Linked DNA regions of Xenopus tropicalis. The protein of the gene in region 2 purifies or fractionates together with the protein of the main gene of each other region. This does not show direct contact. Links are inferred from orthologs where the notes say so. Each region holds a gene or a part of one and is shown on either strand. Other genes may lie near its edges.

What was found. The genes of interacting proteins can lie anywhere in the genome.
Region 1: the proteins of smad7 (region 2) and rnf111 purify together in Homo sapiens (affinity purification with western blotting; 3 studies listed by BioGRID). This does not show direct contact. The link is inferred for Xenopus tropicalis from reciprocal best matches to the Homo sapiens genes SMAD7 and RNF111.

What each region holds. Positions count from the first base shown.
Region 1 is NC_030679.2:99,170,384-99,175,065, reverse strand, and holds the start of rnf111 (E3 ubiquitin-protein ligase arkadia), read right to left. Parts: upstream 2,972-4,682; 5' UTR 2,809-2,971; exon of another isoform or gene 2,727-2,808; intron 1-2,726. UniProt on the Homo sapiens protein: E3 ubiquitin-protein ligase. Required for mesoderm patterning during embryonic development. Acts as an enhancer of the transcriptional responses of the SMAD2/SMAD3 effectors, which are activated downstream of BMP.
Region 2 is NC_030677.2:205,593,720-205,598,375, forward strand, and holds the start of smad7 (mothers against decapentaplegic homolog 7), read right to left. Parts: upstream 3,156-4,656; 5' UTR 2,093-3,155; coding exon 1,612-2,092; intron 1-1,611. UniProt on the Homo sapiens protein: Antagonist of signaling by TGF-beta (transforming growth factor) type 1 receptor superfamily members; has been shown to inhibit TGF-beta (Transforming growth factor) and activin signaling by associating with their receptors thus preventing SMAD2 access.

The sequences.
Region 1 (4,682 bases), on a different chromosome or scaffold from region 2:
AGTAACACAGAAGTCATCCATACTTGTGCACAGCATTTCATTCACTGCATTTCCAAATGTCATGCAGGCAACGAAAAGCCCCTATGCTACTAGCAGGCATATGAAATATGTTCCTGAACTTATCAACTATATGCTGAGCAACACTCTTAGCTAAGGGCAAGTGGTCTATGAGAATAAGGATGGTTAACAGAGTAACACACTAGAATTTAGATACAAAGGATCATAAATGAGGAATTCAGGAGTTGGGAAACTGCTGGTGTCTACAATTCAAAAATACTGTAACAGATATATGCGATTGCTGCCTCTTTCATATAAAAGTAATACGAGTTGAAACAAAGACGTTTAAACCTATGACTAAGTGCCCCATGTAGGCACAAAACTCCCCAGCACTGTTAAAAGGTGTTGAAACTTTTTATGAAATTATTAAGCAGCAATATTTGATTGTGGTCCAGTTTGGTGCCAGTCTATCTTTGTAAAATTTAAACTGGATATCTCCTTAAAGCAGTTCAGTGTAAAAATTAAACTGGGTAAAATAGATAGACTGCGCAAAATAAAAAATGTTTTAAATAAAGTTAGTTAGCCAAAAAATGTAATCTATAAGGGCTGGAGCAGGCAGATGTCCAACATAATGGCCAGATCACTACTTCCTCCTTTACAGCTTTCTAAGCTGTTAGCAGTCAGTAACTTAAGGGGGCGGGGGATGTGGGACATGACTGTTCAGTTAGTTTGCATTTTAATCCGACCTGCATACTCACAAATTAACTGAACAGTTATGTCCCAAGTGCCAAACCCCCCCCCCCCCCCCCTTTCCCTAAAGTCACTGACTAACCAAGAGGTTAGAGAGCTGACATCTGTCCACTCCAGCCTTTATAGATTACATTTTTTGCCTAACTATATTGCAAATATTTTTTATTTTGTGCAGTTTATCCATTTAACCCAGTTGAATTTTTACACTGAACTGTTCCTTTAAGCTGAAGGTCTGGGACAGGGGCACTTTAAGCTATTTAAATGACCACATTCCTCTATTTGTATGAATTATAGAACATTATTCACCTACATGTCAAAGCTTTTGTATAACTGCTTTTTGTCCAATATTTAGACATAGTTGAGGGCCTGGAGAAAAGATCTTAAATGTCACATGTTGCATAGCAATATAAATACTAATATTCTTTTTATAGATTACTAGTAAAGGCAAGACTATTAATTTCCAAACAGATGTATTTCTCTCTGCCTAAAATGAGCCGATGACTGCAAGGTAAGTAAACACTAGGCCAACACATAAGGGCCCATTTATGAAAGCACAAATTTTTATTTTCAGAATTTTTTTTTTTTCTAATTTATAGAACTTTTCATAATGACCACGATAATATCATTAAAACTGCAATACTTTTTCGTTAACTTCCATGAAAAAGTCATATTTTTCGCAAAGACTACGACCATTGCGGAATTCATTCAAGCTTTGGTATAGTGACTATCTTTTGGCCAGGTTGGATCTGTAGAGTGCCATTGAGTCCTATGGAAGGCTTCCAAAATCATGCATTGAAGTTTCAAAGCCAGAAAGGTTTTCGCGCCATTTACGATTGTTTGGATCCAAAAATGTTGTGACTTTCGGATCGCAACCACGATATTTTCTTACGACCGGGAAAAGAAACTGACATTTTCAAACATCAGAAATTATTGTGGTTACTCCACATTTTTTCCAATCGTGCTTTTCACCACCCAAAATTCGTGCTTTAATGAATGGGCCCCTTAGTTTTTCCATGGGCTGGTACATTTTCCACCGAAAAGGAGCAATGGCCTGCATAAAAACTTAGTGATTTAATCAACTCGGGGGGTTCCTAACATTTTGGTACACCTCAGCAAAACAGGCTTTCCTTGTCCTTTAATAAGAACTCGAAACTAACCAGGATATGCAAATGCAAGTATTTCTTTTCAAATATCTGAGAGCTTACTTACAAATACAGTTACTAAACAGCACAAGTGTAGCTGCCAGTAACAACCAAACAGCTTAGAACAGGAACCTATAAGTTACAAAATGAAAGTAATGATACGATTTGTTTTGATATGTAACTGCACTGCCAACTCAACATTTATCATTTTAAATGCCCCTTGATGAATATCCAAAACAAGATCCAAACAAGAAGCACAGGAACAGGAAGTAGCTTAAGTGCAAGAAATTATCCAAAGAACACATTCCCTTTAAGGACAATGACAGATGTGGCATTTTGTCCCCAATGGTTTGCAGCGATGGCAAAATGCCTACAAATTACCTCCGTTTGTGGATAATGAGAATCATTGCAGATATAAAAGTTAAATCACTTAACTGCACAACTAAATTCCTTATCGGTTATTGCCCTTAAAGTTGAAAATGTAATTGTGAGATTGTGTCTCTTCTAACTGGGAACCTATTCCAGATCAATAGCACTCTTCATGTATGATGGTTATTCCCTTAATACGAGCTGCTCATGGAGAGAAATTGTGTTTACATTTTAATCAGGTACAAATACATTTCACCATACAGAACCAAAACAAATGGCCATGAATACAAATACTGTACATAAGTGGCAAGAAGCCTGCGAACACATTCATTAAGATAATAATACTAGTGTCAAGCCTATATTAACCATCCATATATATATAGATATAATACAATCCTGATTATATATAAATAACCAAGGCTTCCAGGAAATGAATGTAAAAGATGCGATGTTGAGCAGTTATCATACCTCCCTCAATACGAAGCGTCTAGCTCGCTAGGCCCGCCCGAGAAGCCCGACTGCAGTAGCGAGCCCGCCCCGCAGCACATACCTGCTTCAGCCTGGACATGAGCACGTTAGTCACTCCGGACTCGTCGAGGTTCCTAATCTTTAGCTCACTTTGGATCAGTCGTAATGGCCAAGGAAGCCATGTTAGGTAGCTACCTTTGGACACTAAGATGCCGCCGAGTCACGTGACGTCGAATGCTTGCGCCGCAAAACCCGGATGGTACAGTCACGTGGGCTGCTAGCGCCTCCCTCCTCAGCGACTCGCTTGTTGTTTACGTGGTGTGGTAGCGCTGATGTGCGCAGGATATTTACCACTAGGAGATGGTGTCAGCTCTCGCTGATATATTTCTAAGAGTATATATATATTTTTCCCAAATGCAACTCTAATTTACTTTTAGGCGTTCCCCTAAAAGTCAGACTTTTAGTTTATGAACCCTTGCATTACATCTTTTAAGCTTGTAAGCCATAGTAAGCTTTACCTCAGGTATGACACTTGTACTGTTGGACCAATAGAACATATCTAGTCCTGGCACTTAAAGGACAACTAAAGCTTAACTTAAGTAGTGCAGAAATGTTGTAAATTATATTTTAAGCTTATGCACCAGCCCAAGACAACTGCAGCCAATTAGTAGGGAATATCAATGCCCCATCTTTTCTGCTGACTCAGGTCACATGCTCTGTGCTTCTGTCACTTCAGGGACCCACCCACAGCATACGGTATATATAAGATATAAATGTAACAGTATAAGGTTGATGAGTAAATAATACAGATTAGTGCAAGGATGTTCTGAAGCCGGTGTAATCTGCATGAGAACAGTAGCATCACCCTCAATGACAGGCAAACATCATTTTCTGCTTGAGAATTTGTGAAGACCCTCTAAGCCAGGGGTGTCAAACTCAATTGCACAGGGGGCCAAAATCCAAAACACACTTTAGGTGACGGGCCGAACAGGATAAACATTTAATGAACACACTAAGGCATACCTCCCAACATTTGAAAAATGAAAAGAGGGACAAAAAGATTTGGCGCGCGCAGCGCGGCAAATTTTTTTGACCACGCCCCCTTTTGTGGTCACGCCCCAATTACCACACCCCATTTTTAAAAAAATACCCCTTTTATATAGATCAAATGGCGGGAGCAGACGCAAATGTGCTATACCCTCATACTGAACGACCTAAGGAAAACAATACAGCAACTCCTACATTAAAATACAAATATAGAGAGAAGGCAGTCAGTTATAAGTGAGTTATAACTAAGTACCAGTTTTTCCCCCCCATACACAGTAGCCCGCCCCATACACAGTAGCCCGCCCCATACACAGTAGCCCCCCCATACACAGTAGCCCGCCCCATACACAGTAGCCCGCCCCATACACAGTAGCCCCCCCATACACAGTAGCCCCCCCATACACAGCAGCCCCCCCATACACAGCAGCCCGCCCATACACAGTAGCCCCCCCATACACAGTAACCCCCATACACAGTAGCCCCATATACACAGCAGCCCCCCCATACAAAGCAGCCCCCCCATACACAGTAGCCCGCCCATACACAGTAACCCCCATACACAGTAGCCCCCCATACACAATAGCCCCCCATACACAGTAGCCCACCCCATACACAGCAGCCCGCCCCATACACAGTAGCCCCCCATACACAGTGCCCCTATACACAGTAGCCCCCCAATACACAGTGCCCCCCAATACACAGTGTCCCCCTATCACAGTAGCCCCCTATCACAGTAGCCCCCTATACACAGTGTCCCCCTATCACAGTAGCCCCCAATCACAGTAGCCCCCTATACACAGTGTCCCCCTATCACAGTAGCCCCCTATACACAGTGTCCCCCTATCACAGTACCTCCCATAGGAGCTCCGCCTTCTTCTGTGGCTTCGTTATGCCTCTCCTTGTGCAGCG
Region 2 (4,656 bases):
AGAGGCAGGGCAGAGAGGCGGCGATCGCCTTGATATTTAGCAGTGAGATAAACAATAGCTGCCGCCTGGCGCCAGCCCTCCCTGCTATCAGCTCCTGCGACTGTCTGACCGGGGGCTCAGCCACTCCTGCCCCCATAATCCCCCTGTAGCTCCGCCGAGCAGTTAGCATTTCACAGAAAGGCAAAAAGATAAAGGGAAAGGGACTCTCTTTTTTTTTTTCCTTTTTACACCCCCTCCCCCTTCCCCTTGCTGCCCTATTTTTCTAAGGATTACAAAGTAGCCATGCAACTGCAATTTTATCTCCTTACTGTACTTCACTGTACGTTGGGGAAAAGACTTTTTCGCTATTCGCGCATTATACGCACAGCCGTATATAAAAGTGCGCTGAAACTGCCGCCGGAGAAAGGGGCATTGAAGCAAAAAGAGGGGGTTTACGCTTTACACCCCAACTTTAATAGGGGTGTAATAATAAAAGTAGGCTGGTAAATAGGAAACAGGGGGGAGGGCATGATTAATAAACACATTAAGCAGAACAGAAATAAGCTTAAAAGGTAAATGAAGGGAAAAACAATATATTACTAGGGTATAAGTGCAATAAAGGGAGGGACAGCCCCGATCCATTGATGGGGGGATGAATGAGATGTCAGTAGTAACTACTCAGCCCCCTGGCACTGTCACTACTGTCATAGGGAATAATACCTAATAATGACATGAGCCGAGACCCCCCCCCCAGAAATACATAAGCCCCCCCCCCCCTTTATTGCCACTGATATTAGCCCAGCAGACCTGCTATAGGACTGGAGACTGGATGATAATGGGGTGTATCTTGTATATGAAGGTTTCCTGGCAAAGTGACACAAGGCACCCCCACAATCCGTGTGACCCCCCCCATTCCTTTCACACAGTACAACGGAATGACATAGTGACAATGACACCTCCCAGCTTACACAGCAGACTGTACCCCCACAGCACCCACCGTGCCCACTATCCCCAAGCCACACTGTCAGTTATACCAAGGGGCAAGTTACTCTGCCCTGCTATTAGCCACAGCGACCAATGTATCCAATGTGCTGTACCCATGAAACCCAGAGCCATGCCCCCTTTGCCATTCCCGCTATACCCAAGGATAAATATGGAAAAAGAATAGTTGTGCCCTGAGATAAATATGCCCAGTCATATACCCCATTATAACTGTGCCAAATGGCAGTAAATCAGTATCCCCATTACCCATCACAATATTGAACCCCCAAGCCTGTGGCTGCATTGAAATACTAATGCCAGACTGACCCTCTGATGCCAACTACACACACCAGCTGTGCCCAGTGGGTGCCAATGTCCCTGCAGGACAGGGTGGCAGTCAGAGCAAATCCACCCTGCCATGTGTGTGTGCCAGTCTGGGTGTCAAAGTCCCTGCAGGACAGGGTGGCAGTCAGAGCAAACCCACCCTGCCATGTGTGTGTGTGCCAGTCTGGGTGTCAAAGTCCCTGCAGGACAGGATGGCAGTCAGAGCAAACCCACCGTGCCATGTGTATGTGCCAGTCTGGATGGCAGTCAGAGCAAACCCACCCTGCCCTGTGTGTGAGTGCCAGTCTGGGTACAGGGGGCACCTACCTAGTTCGCACAGCCTGCTGAGATGGTGCGGGTTGCAGCAGACCAGCTCCGGGTTGTTCTTGCCATAGGAATCGCAGCAACTAAGTCGTTTGACCTCGGACGAGTGCCTGAGGTCCGGCCACCTGAAGACCTTGCAGAGCAGCAGCGGCAGGGAGAAGGGCTGCTGCCCCAGCCTGGAGTCCAGCTTGGCCGCCGGCAGCAACAGGCAGGGGCTGCGGGCTCCCCCTTTACACTCCACCGCCTGCAGCAGCCCCTCCAGCTGCTTCTCCTTCAGCTTCTTCAGCACGGAGTGGGCGAGGGCTTTCAGTTCTGCAGCCTCCGAGCCCCCCAGCGCCTTCCCGGGCACCTTATTCGCCGATTTGCCCAGGCAGCAACCCCCGGCTCCATGAACCCTCTCCCCGCCTTCCCCTTCCCCGCTCTCCCCGGGAGCTCGGCTCCTCCAGAGTCGCCGGACGAGCACCGATCGTTTGGTCCTGAACATGCGGGACGAGAGCAAGGCTTCCCGGCTAAACAACGTGCATGACGCCCGCAAATCATGAAGAATCCTGGATCCGAGGCCGGGCAGAGACCAGCAGCAGCAGCCCGGGAGGGTAGGGGGGAGCTGGGGGTCCGACAAGCCAAAGCGATCTGGAACATGCGCCAGTCTTTTAGGGGAAGAGATCCTGCAAAGTGCGGCGGGGGGATCCGAGTCGCAGCGACAGGAATACTGCAAACGGCAAGCAGCCGCCCCGGCTACACATACAGCGGGCTAATGCTGGGCAGCCGAGCCGGGAGCAGCGGGGCATTGAATGGAGCACAGAGCGCTGCCCGGCTTGGCCTGGGATCTAAAGGGCATTTATACACAATCCTCCCGGTAGGAAAGCGGGCTCCCCCCACAACTCGTACATCCACAAACGAGCGGGTCTGCCGATAATATCCCTTGTGTATGGGGGGCAAATGGGCAGAGAGTAGGGGCACTAGGGCGGCAGAACCTTATAGATAATCCGTACGCGATGCGGTTCCAGTAAAGAAGTAGAAGCCCTGGGTTGCGCCTCTCGCTTGTTTAATCCACAAGAAAAATCCTTTATCCGGCCGCTCAGTAGGAGAGAGGGGAAAAAAATAAAGTGGGACTTGTCTTTTCCTCCTTCTCAAAGGGCTGATCCGCCCCCGTCTGTGTTATGGAAATGTGCGATGGGGAGAGGGGGGGGGGAGAGGAGGAGGGACCGGCCGCACAGCGGAGACACGGCGAGGGGCAGCGGGGAGAGGACTGGTATCCCTCCGCTAACGAGGGCCGGCTATGGGGGTTCACTGGGGCACCTACACTCTACTGGGGGGGTGCTGTGTCCACAAAGCTCACACTCACAGCACCCAGTTACCAAGGGACTTCACCCTGCTCATTGCTGTCAGTGCCCCTCCTCTCTCCCTGACTGTCTCTCACTTCCCCCTCCCCTGTCTGTGCCTGTCTCTCTCTCTCCCCGGCTCTCTCGGCTCTGTCAGTCTCCTGTGCGCAATGGCGCGGCCCATCACGTGGGTGTCTAGACAGCCTGTCGCTTTAACAAAAAAAAAAAACCCCAAGGATTGTGTTGCGCAAAGGCTTCGGGTTACTGAAAGCTCCTCTTTTATGTCACAGTCAGTCATATGTGTGAGTCTGAGTGAGAGTGTGAGTGAGAGTGTGAGTCTGAGTGTGAGTGTGAGTCTGAGTGAGAGTGTGAGTCTGAGTGAGAGTGTGCACTATGCATTTAGTGGGGCATAAAGCCATCAGTGTAACATTAAAGGGGAGGTTAGCTTTTCAGTATGGCCAATTCTAAGCAACTTTTCAATTGGTCTTCATTATTTATTTTTATCATTTTTAAATTATTCCCCTTCTCCTGCCTCTTTCCAGCTTTCAAACAGGGGTCACCGACCCCCGCAACAAAAACTATGGCTCTGTGAGGCTACAATTTTATTGGTATTGTTACTTTTAATTACTTTTCTTTCTGTTTAGAAATATCAGTCTCTCATTGAAACCAATGCCTGGTCACCAGGGGCCCCCACACCCCCAGTAGGGACTCCCGCCGGCTGCCTCCCTGCGGCCCACCAGGTTTTTTCCTGGTGTCCCGTCGGCCCAGTCCAATCCTGCTGGTTGCTAAGGTAATTTGGACCCTAGCAACCAGATAGCTGCTGAAATTCCAATCTGGAGAGCTGCTGAACAAAAAGTGAAATAATTACAGAACTACAAAAAATAATGACAAACTGCAAATTATCTCAGAATATTACTCTCTATCTCATACTAAAAGTTAACTCAAAGGTGAACTACCTCTTTAGATGTAAGTACCTGGGTATAATAATTACTCCCAGTGGCAGGCTGATACACCTTTATGGCATTGCTGCTGCTGAGCTGTGGGAGAGGATGTAGGCTAAGGCTGTTAGGGGTTGCTGGGAGCTGTAGTTCAAGCTGTGGGGAGCAGATTGATTACTAATGAATAAACTGCTTGCAGGGCCTGGCAGGTATAAGGAGAATACATTATACATACTCGGGTTTCATGTTGTTTCTAACATAGAGGTAGTAGATGCATGGAGTGAGCTCTCCGGGGAGAGGGTATCGGCCTTAGTTATCAGCTCAGCTTGACTGTGCATGAATGGGGTTAAATGGCCGGCTTGTGATGTTGGAGGGGAAGTCGGGCTGAGAGGTTTCAGTGCAGGTTGTTAGGGCTGGACAAGTCCCCCTCGAGCCGCTACTTAAATCTCACTTTTGGCTCGTGACGTTTGGGTACAAAGTGTACATGTTGCAACGTCCGCAAGCTTGTCTCTAATTACTGTCTGCCTCCTACCTGTCCCTCTGTCTGCCTCCTACCTGTCCCTCTGTCTGCCTCCTACCTGTCCCTCTGTCTGCCTCCTACCTGTCCCTCTGTCTGCCTCCTACCTGTCCCTCTGTCTGCCTCATACCTGTCCCTCTGTCTGCCTCCTACCTGTCACTCTGTCTGCCTCCTACCTGTCCCTCTGTCTGCCTCCTACCTGTCACTCTGTCTGCCTCCTACCTGTCCCTCTGTCTGCCTCCTACCTGTCCCTCTGTCTGCCTCCTACCTG